3 linked regions of the Coturnix japonica genome follow. The protein of the gene in region 1 binds, or shares a complex with, the protein of each later gene. Links are inferred from orthologs where the notes say so. Each region holds a gene or a part of one and is shown on either strand. Other genes may lie near its edges.

Region 1 (6,713 bases):
ATTATTGCCCATGTTGAAATCTAACAGCTGTTGTGAACAGAACTGCCAACAGAGAGACTTTGAGGAAGACTCTGTGCCAGGAAATTGATGCTGAATGTTTCATTGCAGCTTAGCTGTCCTTCACTGTTGCAAGATCTACCAAGGTATAAACTTCTGAAAAGTTCAGTAAATAAATACTGCTGCAAACAGAGCCTTCTGGGTTCTTTCCAGGGTTCTCTTCAGGATGTTGTTTATTAATAATTATGATAATTAAAACAATTTATTGAGAATTATTTTGATCCTTTGGGGGCAGCTGGGGCAGGAGAAGGTTCTGCTAGTTCTCCTTGCTTTGGAATGCTGAGCGTAGGGCTTGACCCAACCTGTTGAGACTTCCAGGCCCGATCCATGTGAAATGTAAGAGTTGAAATACCCGTGTACGTGATTCTTGCTCCTTTGGAAGATTTTACAAAAGCTCATGCACAACGTTACTCAAATTGAAGTTGGCCCACGCGTTCTTGCTAGGAGAAAAGCAAGTGCCAAGACACTGTTAAAAAAGAAAAACGTTGCCAACCTATCTGCCTGGAACTGAACCAAGATCACCAAACTGAACAAGTACCAAATGGCAACTAAACTATCTCAGCCTGCTTCTGTCCTGAGCCTCATCTGAGCCCAGCTGTGACAAAATCCCTGAATCTATTTCCTACATTCTGTCTAGGCCCACGTACCCAATTCAGCAGGTTGGTTTTGTTGGTTTTAAAGCACCTGTCTCACAATTAGTTGTGCATCAGCTGTTTGTGTTAATATCCAAGTGGCCATACTTGCAACATGTTATTTCCTGGATAGTGGATTAGCAATAACACTTTATTTTGTGCCAATTTGTTATCTCTGAAGTGTTCTTACTGCAGCAAAGTTTGAGTTTTGATTTGGTTTTAATGCCTTTGCATTGACCAGAACTCTTAGCACAGACATGGACAAAAAATTGAATCCAGGGGGTTTCTCTGGATAAAAAATCTGCTAGGGCTTCCCAAGACATTTGAAGTTGGTATAGTTAGCCATCATTTTTAAAACAAAGATACGATTAAAAATGTGTGTGGGTATTTTTTTAACCTCCTTTTCATAACACTAGCATATTGTAAACTGCATGAAATAAATCTGTTTTTCCCTTTTAAAGTCTGATGTCTTAAATCTCTCTTTTCTAAATCCCCTAAGGTTGACCGTAACAGTCGCTGATACACCTGGTGTAGCACTTCATTTAAATACAGAATGTTTTATTTCTCTGTAGTCATTCAAAGCAGCAAATCCTTTTCTGTTTCCTCAAAGACTTGATTACAGAAAAAGCCGTGCTTATTTGGAAGTACATCCACTGGGAAATTAAGGTATTTTCCTTTGTGTTTATACAGTCACTGATCATTATAGCAGGAAATTGTCCCTTCTGGGATGGGTATATAACCAAGAAGAGTGTCAAGTTTTAATTAATGACTTTGTGTATATTTTCTTTCATTCACGGAGCTAACAAATCAACCTGCCTAACCTCACTGATTACTTTTTGAATCCAGTATGTAGATTTTTAATAGAAATACTTATATCTGAAAAATGAATCTGAAAGTGACACTTTGTAATAAGAAATGTAAATAAGCCAATTAATGAATTCTGGAATCTTAGGGGGGTACACCATTAAGAATGAGGTGAATTTCATCTTAATAGTTTTAATCAGTTTTAAATGCAAAGCATGTTTAAAGTTTTCCTTACATCTTCCATTAGTGATGGTCAGGATGCTTTCTGTACACAGCTCTTCTCCATCTCTCCTCCAGCATTTACTAGTTAAAAGGAATACAGTAACTAATGCCATAAGTATTTGTGCGTTAGGGTGAGAGAAGAAAGTTGGGCAGGAGGGCCCACAGAAAGAGAGACATCCTATTTTGCATCATTGTGCTGTGCAGTGGGGTAAAGCATGTATAGGAAAAGGAGATATTCATTCCAAGGGAAGACAATTCCTCTTGAATGAGAGAAGCTCAATGAAGATGGGGTGAGAATACGACAAGTGTTTTGAGGATCTGGTTTGTTTCTATTTTCTGAGACCAACCTGGGGAAGGTTCCTCCATCGTTTCTGTGGAGTTAAACCGAGATTAAATTGAAATGTGAGCGTGGATTGTTTAGAGAATAAATAAATCAAACCAGGGAAGGAGCTGCCGGAGCACTGGGCTCACCCTCCTGGTTAAACACGGGAGTGGCTGCACATTAGAACCCTCATTTAAGCTGCCTTTAAACCCTCAGCCCATGAAGGCTCCGCACCCATCCCTGCATCGCCGCCATAGTGTCTTTATCAGTAGAATTTGATAATTCCTGCCCTTGGTTTTTCACACAGAGCTTTGGCCTGATGACACCTTGCTTTGTGCTGTGTTATGGGTACTGACAGGAGATCATTGTTGTCCCATCAATATATAAGTGCTTATTTATGGCAATGCCTAATGATGGCAGAATGGAGGGGAAGATAAGCCATGGTTGGTATTAAGGCGCTATATACGGTGCAGTTCAATGGACAGACCATGGCCGGATGCTGCTCAGAGGTTTAAAGACCCGACATGTTTCGTTACATTAAACGTGAATGTTCCAAACAAACCCACAGCGACACGAACCCCCTGCAGGCGGGATGGCCCCGCCCCCTCCTGGCTCTGCCCAATGACAGCTCAGGGTCGACTCCCCATCCTCCAATCAGAGACGCGGGTGGTGGCGGTGGGCGGGTCCTATCGAGCTGAGGCGCAGTGGCCGGCCCCGCCGTGTTCTCGGGCCGGTTGTCGGGCACGGCTGACTCCACAGCGCCTGAGGTAAAAGTTCCGCCCGTGTTTCCGTGGCGGCTCGTCGTTGTGCCGGGCCGTGCTCGGATCCGCTCCGCCTCGTGTCGTTCCCCGCTCAGGCGCTGTCGGGCCGCCCGCAGGTCCTGCCGAACCGCGCCTGCGCAGCGGGACGGACGGGTCGGGCCGAGGGACACACGGCGATAAAGCGAACGGCACCGAGAGAGGGAGGGGGAGAGAGGAAGGGAGAGGGAGGGAAACTCCGGAGCAGAGACAAAGGGGGGGAGCGGAGCCGGGAACATCCGGGTCATTCGCCGCTGCCTCAATCCGGGACACACGCGGGTGCTGCGGCCGAGCACGGTGAGGCCTGGCCGGGAGCGGGGCCTGGGGCGGCGGGGCCCGGCCCGGTGCGGCCCGGCCCGGTGCGGCCTGGTCCGGTGCCTCGCGTTGCGGCGGTTCGCGGGCACGGCGGTTCCCGGCGGTTCCCGGTCGGCGCGGCCGGGCCTGACGGCGTCTGGCTGCCCAACTCGGGACGGCTCCGCTCTGTCCCTGCGCCGCGGCCCGCTCAGCTCTCGGCCGCCTACGGGGCGCACTCGGCGGCTGAGCTGCGTGCGCCGACCGGCTGCGCCCAGCGCTCCCCGCCCCGCCAATAGCTCGCCCGGCACACACAGGCCTCGGCCGCTCCGCGGGGCTCGCGAGACCAACGGCGGCGGCGGCGGCCGGGACAGCGCTGCGCCGCTCCGTGCTGGGCCGCCCCGCGGTTCCTTTTGTTGTTCTCGGAACTACCGTGCGGGTCGGTGCCGCCTGAGCCGCTTATTGCGCTGCAGACTTTGTGCGGCAGTTTTAGGCGCTGCGATTTGGTTCCACCTCAACCATTGAGTTTCTCTGACTGGAAAGGAAAGGAAAGGAAAGGAAAGGAAAGGAAAGGAAAGGAAAGGAAAGGAAAGGAAAGGAAAGGAAAGGAAAGGAAAGCTGCCCCGGCAAACAGCGCAGGTTTAACGATCCTTACAGCGTCTGCTTCTGATTCGTAATGTAATCGGTCTTAACGATTTGATTCATGTATTGATTTTTGAATGAATGGAGAATGAAGGAGCACGTTGTGTATATACAGATTTGTAATGGGGCAGGGATGCAGGCGCGGTGATCACTGTGCTATGGGAGCACTGTGCTGTGCTGGGGCTGCTGGATGGATGGCACAGCAGTGTGGGCTGGGTTTGGTCCCAGTGCAGGTAGTGCCAGCAACAGAGCTGAGCTACCAGCACTCTGGGAAGTTTCTAGTGAGTTGGTAGTGATAAATGGGCCGTTGGTACCTCCTGGTGCTGGTGTGTGCAGGAGGGAATAGTGCTAAATTGAATGGGAGGACAGAGATGGATTTTCTCCAGCTTAGAACTTGGTGTTCTTTCTAATGATGGACCTCTCCCATACAGTAAGTTGGGACTTAATTGTGTTCATTCAGTCACCTTCTCAGGTGAGGGAAGGAAAGTCAATGGGATGCAATATCTGAAACAAGTGTAAAAAAAAAATCCATAAACCAAGTGTTTAAAATCTGTTCCGTGGTGGCCGTTGTTCACCCTCCTGGAGTCACATGGGAGAACTGTGCAACTTTGAGATCAAAAACCTGTAGGAAAACTGCACCTCCCTCCCCCCAAAAAAATCTGGATTTCTGGTAAGGTGAAAATGAAGTTTGGATAGGGTTGGTTTGCTGGCTCAGTGCAGTCAGTCCATCTGCTGCACTCTGCCTGAAGATGATAATTGCAGTTATTTAAGTCCTGCCTGAGACATTGGAACCGGAGTCTTGCAGAAGAGGGAGAGCAAATACAGGCATTAGTTCAAGCTCAGACGGGGCTGAGCTGTTCTGTCCCAGTTGTGTTCAACATTACTAAATAATGAGGTGAAGTTTGACTATTGCTTGACATAATGAAAAACAAAAGTTCAAACCAAGAGCCACTAAACTTCATGTAGTTGTGGTAAGTTAAAAGTATCAGCTAATGATCAGCTAATGATTACTAATACATAAAACAGTGTAATAGAACTGATTTCTTCAAGGTGTTTAGGAGTCTCACTCTGGTTAGATGTGCCAGAAGTGACTGCTGTTAAATCCCTGGCAAGTATCAGTGTTTATCGGATTTCCATTACGTGGCCTTAATATTCAGGGGACTGGAATGGCAAATATTAAGTAGACTAAATATACGTACCTGGCAGCTAATTTGAGAATACAAATGCTTATCTCTTGGTCAGGGCTATCTTGATATCTCCTTGTTAATCATGATTGTAAAGTGTTCGGATTTGGTCTCCAGGTGCTAAAAGCACAGCTGAAATTCTGTCACATGTTCGTTGGTTAATTAAAATCTCTAGGAGGGGTGTGAGCTCATGGAATAAAATTCCTCCCCTTATAGTTTTGTTCTGGTTTCTCTTGGGATGCTCTGCTTCTCTTGCTGGACAGTTGGCTGAAAGCTGAAGTGTTATCTATGGTTCTGGTGTGAAGTCCTGCAAGTGTTCTTACATAACCAGGACACTGGTGTATGTATTGGGAACATGAGAATGAGTGCAGGCTTCTTTTGTGTGTGTTTACTGCACAGAGCATTAATGGTGCCTTCTAAAAAGCTTTAACTCTAGTTACGTTCTAGCAGGGATTGTACTATTGAAATGATGGACTGTGGATGTGCAGGCTGATCTGACTTAGGGAAAAAGAAGGGAGAGGAGAGAAGGAAGAAGGGTTTTTAAGGACGCTTAGTTAAGGTGTCTGTACTGTGGGGCCACTTCTGATGGGTTAATATGTAAATGGAGAGCCTGATGTCTTCTGATCTTCTGAGAGTACGGCAGATAGGCACGAGTAATCAAGAGTGAGATTGTAAAACAAGGGCTTTTTTGAGCTAGAGCTGGTATGGTCGGGTAGTTTATGTATAGAGTTATGTATAGAGTTTATGTATATGTATTAATCCTTAATGATTATGTAAATGTTTGCTGTAATAGAGTGATAATATTTCTTTCACTCATTCTGTAAGCTTATTTAGGAGCGAGATACTGCTCTGGTGGCTGTATGAAGTAGTTAGGATGACTGTTCTGAACTCACAGCTACCAAGTTTTAGTTCTTGTTTGAACGGGTAGAAGTGCAGTGGGGAGGAGGATTAAAGATCTTTGCTGGAGGTTTCTGACCACTAATGGAATGATATGGTTAATGAGATGGTGAGTTTAGTACAGTTTGAGCATGAAAAATAAGGTCTCACTTCAGCTGCTCTTGTGGTTGAGTGGAGGATCCTCCCCTGATTCTGGGAGGGAATTTGTGTCTAGAATTGTTCTCGTGTTGTCACATCTTGGTCGCTGTACTTGGCTGATACTTAAGACAGTGAAGATCCTGGAAGATTGCTCAGTTTATATGGGTATTAAAGATCTGTCTTGTAGGATGAGTGGGCTGCTCACTGACTTCCTCAGTTAATTTCTGTCTCTTCTTTTGGCATGACATCAGAATCACTCCAGTTTGCTAAATCCTGTGCCCTTGTTGCTTTTGTGTAGAACCCTGGATTTTAGCAGGGACTTGGTCTATTAGTGGTGTTTCTTATTCTCATGTTGGCCAGAAATGGGAGCAGTGCAGGCGTTTGCCTTCAGAGGAGAGCGGTACCTTTCATGATGTCACAGAGAACTGGATATGCCTTTGTCAGTCTCAAGCAGGAAATCTGAGCCTTTCCTCCTGTCAGTGATAGTGTTACTGCTATCAAGATACTTGGAAAATTATTTTGACAGTGTGGTTCAAATATGAAATACACAGTGGGTACATGTAAAACTGGGTTAAGTCCAGTACCTGGGATGTAGTTGATGTGGGGTAACTTTATGACATTATTAGTGTTAACATCTGCTGTGTGTGAAAACATGTCGTGGCTGTGGTAAAAATGGAAGGCCAAAAGACTTCTTGAGTGGTCGGAACTCTTATATGGAGAACATAAT
Region 2 (4,932 bases), on another chromosome or scaffold:
GTTCCTTCCATCATTAACTTCTCACATGCAGACAGGTAGCGTACTGTAGTAGTATGCTACTATTTTCATGTATGGAGGAAGAAATAAGATACCTTGAAGTGTGAATTTATTATGATGAGTATAACTGGCATTGTATTGTCTAGTGAAAATAAGTGTTGGACTTCAATATAATTTTTTTTTTTAAATGTTTTTCCTGCAGGAAGCAAAGCCTTCAGCTGAGGACTTAGGAGATAAGAAAGAGGGGGAATACATTAAACTCAAAGTCATTGGGCAGGTGAGTTTTTACGTAATGGCTATTTGGGAGACACTGTGAATTTTTTAAATATTGTAATGAATGGGAGAGAAGCTGATGTGTTAAGTTCTTCAATGCGAGTCTTTGACCAATTGCCAGCAATGTGTGTTAGCATGCTCTTACATTTGGGTCTTTGGAGTTCATGTATGGCAAACATGGGATCAACCCTACTGGTTAAGAGTAGGAAGAGGATTCTGTTGATTGACTTGTTGGTAATGGGTGATGGATTGTAAGTCTGAATTTGTATTGTTTAAATAGATATCTAAACTCTTCCAGAACAGAAGAATTCCACATTAGTTCATTTGATTTAACTTGTTGTTGGTTGGAGTATTAGTACAGTTACTGTTTACCAGAGACATGATTTTAACTGGTGCTGGTGTAAACTCAAGTCTTGCTGGTTTAATCAGCTATAATGAGAACACACTCGAAAGCTGTGTGTTTGCACAGAACATTTCGTGGTCTGCTTTATCTGTAGCCATTTTGACAAATGCAATGATTTGTACCTTATTGCTTGTAGGAAGAACTGCAGAATATTGAGAGCTGAGATTTTGCTTTAGGTTGATGTTATGTTGCCAAGTTAGCCTGTATCCTAAGCTCCAGATAGTTGCTCTATTTGAACAAGGTTTTGCATATATTTTGAAATACAAGCTTTAACTTGTCTCGTGGAATCTTAGAGCAGAAGTCCCCTGCATATGTATGTTTGTATTTTGTAAGTATGTCAGCTGGTAAAAGATGGAGTACAGACTGAGCTGAGTATGGTATTTAATACTTCTAAATCCAAAAATGTCCGTGGCGAGCTGAAGGCTGTATTGTGCCATCTGTTTCAAAGCAGGGCTTCCTGCGAAAGTGATGAATGTAAGTGCATAACATGAACCTCTAAGATGGTTTAGCAGTCACTAAATTATGCCCAGTGATAATTAAATAGTGTTCTGTGCTACTTTTTTTGTAAGACTTTTTTAATGAATCTTTTAAAATGAGCATAGAGAAAGTAAGCAGTTGCCGAATTAATATTTTTTTCTTTTCTATTCATAGGACAGCAGTGAAATTCACTTCAAGGTGAAAATGACAACACACCTCAAGAAACTCAAAGAATCATACTGTCAAAGACAGGTTTGTGAAACCATGACACTGAATGTACAGTGGCTGTTCAGAAGGTGTAGAAGTAATCTTTTAAAATGTCCAGGTTTACATTTGAAATTACTGTAAAATCTTCTGGATCCTTTTGAAATTTCCTTGAAATAGAATACTGCAGCTTGGGATGAGGGCAGCCTTATATGTTGTTACTGTCATAAGTATGATAATACATTTGCATGAGCTATTATACCCTAACCTAAAGAAATATGCAGTATCAGTGCTTGATACAGGTAAATAGTGACCGCTCTTCCAGGACAGGAAATATGTGTTCACTTACAGGTTCTATGGCAGATACTGTGGATTCAGTGATGCTATTCTTAGCGGCCCTGGTCTACTTCACTCCTAGCTTTGGGGACAGATGCCTTATGTGGCCTTTTCTTGAGCAATTGCACTGAAGTTCAATTCAGTAAATAAAACTATTAAAAAAAAAAACCAAAAAAACCCCAACTTTTTATTTTAGTGCTAAGTTTGATTTGCATCAAAGTATGGTAAGTTCTGTAGAAATACCTCTTTCATACTATGACACATTAGATTTTCTGTGCCTTTGTACAGTAATGTTGCTATATGGCCTGCTATCCTACTAGAGAAGGAGATAAAAGGTTAAATGACAGATATCCTTGCAACCCAAACTAAAAAGTGACTAAAATTGGGATTCATCAGAAAACTAAAAGGCAGATGCTGGCATTCATTCATGCAGTTAGTCGTATTCACTGTTAGAAATGTGTATGTGCAGATTTTTTTTCCAAGAAATATATGTTTTGGTAGGCAGAACTACATCTTTCTCCTGGCTGATTTCTAGAGAGTCCCAGTTCCTTCATTTGTTATCAACACTGCTTTTGGTGTCAAGTAAGCAACATTTCTGAGATGTAAATGATGCACTAAACGGGTCATATTTCACTTGCACTTTGCTGATAATGGATATGAAAGAAGAGGAAAAGGTTAGGTGTTTGTCTTAGCTGCAAAGGTGAAGTGTGGTATTAAGCTTTAACGTAGGAATGCTGTACACTAGATGTACTGTGATCTTATTTTATTAGCTCTTGGGTGCTCTTTTCTCTGCTCCCTCTCCTTCACAGCGTAGGGCTTTTGCAGAGCTTGTATCTGTAGAGGATACCATTCTTTATTGCAGTGTTATAAGATTGTGGAAGCAAGTGTAGGAGTTTGTGAAGTACACATATTCTGTATGTTATGGTAGTCTTTAAAAAGGCTGATAAATGGTTTAGAAGAAGGCTGCACCCTCCTGTAATGCCTTGGGAGTGCATAGTTGGTACTTTAGAGGAGTTGGGGAGGGGAGATGCTAAGAAAATTTCCCAGTTCTTGATCCCGAAGAACTTTACTGTAACTTTGGAAGAATGATGCAGTTCAGCACTATTGCTCTCCTTGAGACACTTGGTAGTTTACATGGGAGCAGCAGGATAGCTGAGCTCTCTGTGTAACAAGAACCTACGCTTTCCTTTTTAACTTATATGTGCACTGTTTTTATTAAAAATGTGTTTCTTGTAAATGTTTGCATCTTGGTTGAGGTTTTTTTGTGCTTTTTTTTTTTTTTTTTTTTTTTTAAGGGTGTTCCAATGAACTCACTCAGGTTTCTCTTCGAGGGTCAGAGGATTACTGATAATCATACCCCCAAGGAGGTAAGTTTCTTTTCAGAGAGTGTTGCATACAGCATTCAGTAGAGAAAATAATTACAAAATGTGTTAGTTTATCTGTTCTGCTATATTAACCTGATTTGATTCTTTAAATGTAGCCCATCTGTCAATACATCTCTGACTAATTGTAGTCTGATTATACTTGTATGACTGAAGTATTCAATAAGGTTGCTACATAGGTCAGAAAAAAGACTAATTGGACCTTCGCATATAGTGGAAAAAAGTCTGAGGGAACTGATCAGTTGTTGTTCTAGATCTTCAGCTTGAATTTGAAGTAAACATGTATTTTGTTCACATTTATTAGATGAAAGTGTAAATAAACAGCAAACAGATTACTTTTGCTATCTGGTGACTTCCACCAATTGTTACGAAGAAAGGAACAGGAAGAAATACTGAAATACTGAGTTATAATGATGACCTTCTGAAAAAAAATCAAACTTCTTGAATTCCACAATGAACAAGTTACTTTGTTTGAGACAACAGCTGTGAACAGGCTTTGAGTTGCAAGCTGTAGGTCTTAGCTGTATCATGCTTAGCAGCATGCAGTATATCATCCATGCGGCTATACAGCGGGTGCATTCACAGTGTTGGTAGTTACATTCCTGTGCATCCATTGCCCAAGAAGTTTAGAGGAAAGTAAAGCTAGTATTTTTCAAGCTGATGTGTGCTGCTTCACAAGTGAATTTGGACTTCACAGATAAGATTATTGCTTTGACTGAGAAGATGTGCTGAAATGTATATGATGGAAGAAAAAATACTTAAGAGCATGAGTGTTGGCTAGTGAGGTATTAAGTGAAAAATTTTTCACCTCTTTGTCCTTTGAAAAATGATGAGGCAGAAGAACAAAGCATCAGATAGCTTTTCTAGGACCTGCTCTGAATTCGGTGCACCAGATTTGTAACAATTGTGCTGTTTTTTTTTTTCTCTGTTCTAACAGCTGGGGATGGAGGAGGAAGATGTGATTGAAGTTTATCAGGAACAGACGGGGGGTCACTCAACAGTTTAGATCCTTCTGTTTGTTTTATTTCCCCTTAATCCTTTTTTATTTTTAAATAATAGTTCTTTTGTAATGTGGTGTTCAACACTGAATTGAAACTGGCACCCCATCTCTGGGAGTTTATTTTCGAGCGTCTGGTATTTTAAATTCTCGTGCTCATTATACACTATTGTTTCTGTTTTCATTGTGCTGAACTTCTGTGATCCAGCTGCAGCCCTGCTCTCCTTTTCCCTTCCGCCCTCCCCTTTAGAAATACATATACACACATGCATTTGTATGTTCACTAAGTTCGTGCATTTCAGGCACGAAGGTTGTAAGATCTGCCAGGTGGGCGAGTGTTCTTAATGACTTCCATATCTGCCCTGAAGTTTTGATGTGTGACTGTTTCACTCCTGGACTATAACTTTCAGTGCGAGATGAAGTTTTTCAGAACTAAACTGTGGAGAAATCATGTATCCGTAACTCAGAGCTATTTTACTTAAATTGTGCTGATGGCCCGACGAAGAAGACCAGAGTTGGAAACGAAAAAATCTAGAACCGTTGTCATCTGTACCTTGCTCCAGAGATGGCTTTGCTGAAGACATAGAATTGAAAACCCTAATGATTCTTAAATCTTGCCAGAAGAGCCCAGAAGCATTTTAACTTCATATAGCAATTAGTACACGCAGGTATTCATGCAAGAATGTTCACAGCAGGCAACTGGTGTTACTTTGACACTCTTGTTTGTACCTTTTGGCCTGGGACATGGGTTTTGAATGGACATTGTCTGTACCAGCTTCATTTAAAATAAACAAGAAAAACGATTTTATAAACAATTTGCATTTTCTTTTCAAATGTCTGGAAATGAACAAAAATGTGAAGGA
Region 3 (4,441 bases), on another chromosome or scaffold:
CTAAAATGGAGGCTCTACTCTATGAGGTGTGTGCTTAGGGAAGATAGGTTGGTCCTGAACATGAGGAGAGTGCTCTGGAGCACTGCAGGAACCAGCTGTGAGGCACATGCTATCCCTTGGCTGTGGGAGGAGCGGAGCTTGGTGGCCTCCCATGTCCCCAGGTACAGAAGAGCTGCTCTTCAGACCCGTTTGGAGGGTGTCCCAGCAGCCACAGAGGAAAACCATGTTGCTGAGCCTGCAAGACAGCCCTCATTGGAGAGGCAGCACCTACCTCTACAGCACCCACTGCAGAGGACAGGGGGGATGTTCCCGCTGTGTAGCAGTTGCAGACCTGTCCTTATCCCACAGCCACTCTGACAAGAGACATGGAGGACAGACAGGCAGTGAGAGGTCCCATGAAGAAGTGAGATTCAGCAGTTGTGCCTACCCAATGTGGCTTCCTCATGGAGCAACTCCACAGGTTTCCATCTCTGTCTGCATTAGATGTGTACACATACCTGGATTGAGCTCACATGCTGTGCTCCCTTAGTGAAGATGACCTGCGGGAAGGATCCTCTTGTATCAAAGCACATTCACTCCCAGCACTCACCAAGCCAGGAGCAGGTGCTGCAGGGGGCCCACAGGAGTGCCTGGACACCTTTGGCTACTGCAGGCCAGGTTGTCTAGGAGAAGCACCGTGCAGGTAGGTGGCTTTGGTAACCTGAGCATGTTGGAAGACTTGTGCCAGATGAACAGCTTTGCAGGATGGAGGAGTTGATGACTGTGTGATGGCACCAGAGCCAGGCACCTTTGGCATTGTGCTGCTGGGGGCAGCGAGTGGCTTTAATTAACTGAAGTGATGTGTCTTGTGTGTGTTTGTCCAGTATGGGGCTGAGCAGACTGCAGCAGAGCAGTGAGCAGGTGCACAGTGGGTTGTCCTTGCAGTGAGTGTGCGGGAGGCTGTATATACACACACACGCATAGTGCAGCCCCTCGTCTCTCCAGTGAAGGCCACTGCTTGCATCTAGCAGGGAAGCAGTTCCCAGTGGATGTGCCACCTCTGCTGGGTACAGCAATGCCTTTTGCACCCAATTTACGTCATCTCTTGCAGCGTGTGATGCAGAGGGTCAGGAAGGAGAAGGGATAACCATGAAACCTGACAAGCTTCCAGCTGCCCAATGTATGTTCCCTGCGAGGGGTCAGTGGTCAAGGGTTTTCCCTTGAGGAGAAGGGGGATGTAAGTCAGTTTGGCTCCATGGGGGCTGGGTGGCTGTGGGTAGATGGCCATGAATCCTGAGCACTGTTGGCTGAAGGCTGTCCATGCTTTCACCCTGTGAAGCGAGCTTGGAAGGCAACGTGCAGCTCAGCCCATGGAACAGAGACTCTTGCTCCTGGCTCCTGCTGTGGTGTTTGGCTCTCAGACCTCTTAGGAAGAGCTGTGGCTGCTGTTCCTCCTGTTGCAGTGACAGTAGGGCAGGGTGAATGATTGCCAGCCAACAGTTGGCAGAAACCCTCCCATGAAGCAGCAGGCACAGGCTGAAGTGTTTTTATCCTGTACTGCCCTGTTCTGGCACAGCAGGGACCAAGCCCAGCAATGGTCCCATTGTGCCAAAGCTCAGGATGTCCCTAGCAGTGGTGGAATAGCAAAACCAGAGCAGCCGGTGGGCTCACCAAGTGGCAGAATAAACCCAGAGTTTTTGCTCGTGAATTGCCAAGCAATTTCAGCATCTCATTGCCTCTATTGCTCTGCAGCAGGAGCAGAGCGAGTTGTTGGCCTAGACTTGGAGTCAAACAGAATGTGTGTCAATGGAATTGATGGCTGTGACCCCAGGAACACTGGCAGTGAGAGGACCAAGCCAGTGGGGGCTGTTATATGCTAGGGCACCTGTGTCCCAGGAGCGCTGCCTCTGCCTGTTCTGGGACAGGATGCCTCTTTCTGTGTCTGAAGCATCTGTGCATATACCACCTTGGTATCTATCTTCGTGTCTTGGGGTCAGAGCTCCCCAAGCATTGCAAATGGCCTGGATGTATGATTGACATTTTCTTGGGGGGGAAGAGCAACCGTTTCCTTCTCTACTCTGTGAATCTGCTGTTACTATGCGTGTGCCCAGGTAAGTGTGCATCCAGGCAGAGGCTGTCTGGAGCGCCAGGTTCCTAGGAGTCTTCCCAGCTGCTGTTGCAGGGCTGTGTTTATTCTGTCTGTCTGTGTGCCTTGCAGGCTCTGAAAAGGAAGCCAGACCTCTTCCTGTGTAGCAACCTGGATGTCAAGGCAGTGTTTCAGTGTGGTGAGTACTGTGGGAACATGGTACACGCTGGCACCTGCTCCCCAACCTTGTGTGGAGTCCAGCCTGCTGCTCCTGCAGCTCTGAATGGAGCAGCCAGGGACTGGGGACTGTGGTGCTGGTTTGGGATGGTGTCTGAAAGCTCTGGCCGCTCACCTGAGTGCTTTGTGTCTGCAGGTGTCCTCTCCCTCAAGTTCCCTGAAGCCCCAACAGTGAAAGCATCCTGTGGCTTCTTTGTGAGTATCACGGCTTCCGCAGATGCGTTGGAACTGCATATCATAGGGATGCACAGAGGGGCTGCAGCCCACCAAGCAGAGCAGGAACGGGGCTGTGAGTTGCACAGGGGAGCAGCTGTGCGGTGCCTTGGCACTGACTGGGTTGGATGCTGTGTTGCAGACAGAGCTGCTGCCACGCTGCGGGGAGATCGCCCCAGTGGGACAGGTGGTGCATGAGAATGGCAAAGTGCTGCTGCAGGCGGTACTGGAGGTGAGTGGTGCTGGCATGGGTGGGTACATTGGAGTGATGCTGGGGCATCAAACACTAAGCTCAGCTCAGCCTCTTGCAGTGTAGTTCATCAGGATCTGTCTGCTCTGTACAGGGTGTCGGTGGCCAGGCTTCCCGCAGCCTCATGGATCACTTTGCAGAAATCCTCTTTGCCTTGAACAAGCATTGCTTCAGCTACCTAAGCATCTGGATCAAGGAGGCCATGCAGCAGGATGGTTTCCCTTCAGCCCGTGTCAGCCCCGAGCAGAAAGAGACCTTCAGCCAGCAGATCCTTAGGTTGGTGTCCCCAGTGCTGTGCTGCAGCAGCTGTATCCTACGCTGCTGTCCTTCCTGCTTGACTCACATCTGTCCCCTCCCTCTGTGTTAGCAGAGAGCGTGTGAACAAGCGGCGAGTGAAGGAGATGGTGAAGGAATTCACGCTGCTGTGCCGAGGGCTGCATGGCACAGAGTACACAGCAGACTACTGAGCACCCAACCAGGAATGCGGATGGTTTGCCTGGACCAGCTCTTCCCCACCAGGAAGCCCCCCGTCTTCCCTGCCCTGCTGCTGCAGTACAGCTCGTAGAATAACCCTCCACCTAGAATTAACCTACTCGGGACGCTCCTCAGCTAGACTTGGTGGCCGCATCTTGGTGTCAGCATCTTTGTTCCCCCAGCATGCTCCCCCCTCACAGGGGATGGGAATGCCGGCTGCAGGAGGTGGGGAGGGGGGGCCCAGAACAGGACCGCCCCAGCACAGACTGCCCTTTGCTGCACCGCAGCCAGGCTGCCCACTCTTCCCCAGCACGGCCCTGCAGAGGGGAGGCTGCACGGCAGGGACTGGCTGGGCAGGTGGGCTCGCCCCCTGCTCATTTGTATGTGTTGAGGTTGGGAGGGGGGAGGCCCCACACCTAATTATATTAAGGATATTTCTATGCTGTGGCTGTCATCGCTGTTGTTACCTGCACTTGGGAAAGAGCCAAGGTGAGGGTGTGGGGTGGTTACATAAAGGTTGATGTGCCTCACAGGCTCCTGTTCCCCTCTGGCTGGGGCAGGAATGGGAAAAAACTAGGGATCTCTAGTGTGTGTTGTACTCTGCTGTCCATCATGGATTATGCTCCTGCAGGGGGGACTGCATCCCCTCCACAGGTTGAGGGTCTTCTGGCAGCACAGAGGATGTGTGTGCACATCCTCATAATAGCAAGGGAGGGCTTGTTCACGTGCAGAGCCTCTGCCCATCTTAGTTTCCTGTTCTCCTAGGCTGGCTTTGGCCAACATGTAAGACTACAATCCCAAGGTGAGCCCTGTGATATGTTTTTGCTCTGGAACACCAGCTATTGCCTCTGTAGATACTCTTCAGCCCGCGCTTTATTCTAGAAGACAGTTCACTTCCAACTCCTCAGTTCAGCTTTAGTTAAAACCAGTAACTTATACAAGCCCCCAGTACCAGTGTTGTCAGCTCACAAGAAGCTCTGACCTTTCTTTATAGGGACAGAGTTCATCCTGCCCAGGGAAGGTGCAGAGCCTTTGTCAGCTAGAGTTGGACCAGGCTCCTTGTCCTGACCCTGCTGCTTGTCCTGGCTGTGAGCACAGGGGTGCAGTGGGCATCCCCAAAAACCCATATACCTCCTCCTGTCCCCCTGCAGTCCATATCCAGCACAGGGCCAGCCAGCAGCACCTCCTCATCCTACCTGGAG

Evidence for each region.
Region 2: the proteins of UBE2I (region 1) and SUMO1 are in contact, whole or in part, in a cryo-EM structure (PDB 9B62), measured with the Homo sapiens proteins. The link is inferred for Coturnix japonica from reciprocal best matches to the Homo sapiens genes UBE2I and SUMO1. Residues at the interface, in NP_003336.1 of Homo sapiens: Asp19, Lys48, Asn85, Cys93, Leu94, Ser95, Arg104, Lys110, Gln111, Leu114, Gly115, Glu118, Leu119, Glu122, Asn124, Asp127, Pro128, Ala129; in NP_001005781.1 of Homo sapiens: Gln29, Asp30, Ser31, Gln55, Gly56, Val57, Arg63, Tyr91, Gln92, Glu93, Thr95, Gly96, Gly97.
Region 3: the proteins of UBE2I (region 1) and IPO13 are in contact, whole or in part, in a crystal structure (PDB 2XWU), measured with the Homo sapiens proteins. The link is inferred for Coturnix japonica from reciprocal best matches to the Homo sapiens genes UBE2I and IPO13. Residues at the interface, in NP_003336.1 of Homo sapiens: Arg13, Lys14, Arg17, Lys18, Asp19, His20, Pro21, Phe22, Val25, Val27, Lys59, Glu99, Asp100, Lys101, Asp102, Arg104, Lys110, Gln111, Leu114, Ile125, Gln126, Pro128, Ala131, Tyr134, Thr135, Cys138, Gln139, Ser158; in NP_055467.3 of Homo sapiens: Leu33, Tyr34, Tyr35, Asp36, Pro37, Ile39, Lys42, Gln46, Glu73, Tyr76, Gln178, Thr179, Arg181, Gln231, Glu261, Val264, Asn265, Met302, Glu303, His306, Arg310, Val313, Glu317, Asn318, Thr355, Ser358, Leu359, Leu361, Thr362, Ser413.

What each region holds. Positions count from the first base shown.
Region 1 is NC_029529.1:7,277,384-7,284,096, forward strand, and holds the start of UBE2I (SUMO-conjugating enzyme UBC9), read left to right. Parts: upstream 1-2,688; 5' UTR 2,689-2,804; intron 2,805-2,997; exon of another isoform or gene 2,998-3,131; intron 3,132-3,525; exon of another isoform or gene 3,526-3,803; intron 3,804-6,713. UniProt on the Homo sapiens protein: Accepts the ubiquitin-like proteins SUMO1, SUMO2, SUMO3, SUMO4 and SUMO1P1/SUMO5 from the UBLE1A-UBLE1B E1 complex and catalyzes their covalent attachment to other proteins with the help of an E3 ligase such as RANBP2, CBX4 and ZNF451.
Region 2 is NC_029522.1:10,239,536-10,244,467, reverse strand, and holds part of SUMO1 (small ubiquitin-related modifier 1), read left to right. Parts: intron 1-199; coding exon 200-274; intron 275-1,324; coding exon 1,325-1,402; intron 1,403-2,985; coding exon 2,986-3,057; intron 3,058-4,009; coding exon 4,010-4,078; 3' UTR 4,079-4,932. UniProt on the Homo sapiens protein: Ubiquitin-like protein that can be covalently attached to proteins as a monomer or a lysine-linked polymer.
Region 3 is NC_029523.1:18,001,957-18,006,397, forward strand, and holds the end of IPO13 (importin-13), read left to right. Parts: intron 1-2,197; coding exon 2,198-2,264; intron 2,265-2,438; coding exon 2,439-2,497; intron 2,498-2,657; coding exon 2,658-2,747; intron 2,748-2,859; coding exon 2,860-3,041; intron 3,042-3,135; coding exon 3,136-3,232; 3' UTR 3,233-3,837; downstream 3,838-4,441. UniProt on the Homo sapiens protein: Functions in nuclear protein import as nuclear transport receptor. Serves as receptor for nuclear localization signals (NLS) in cargo substrates.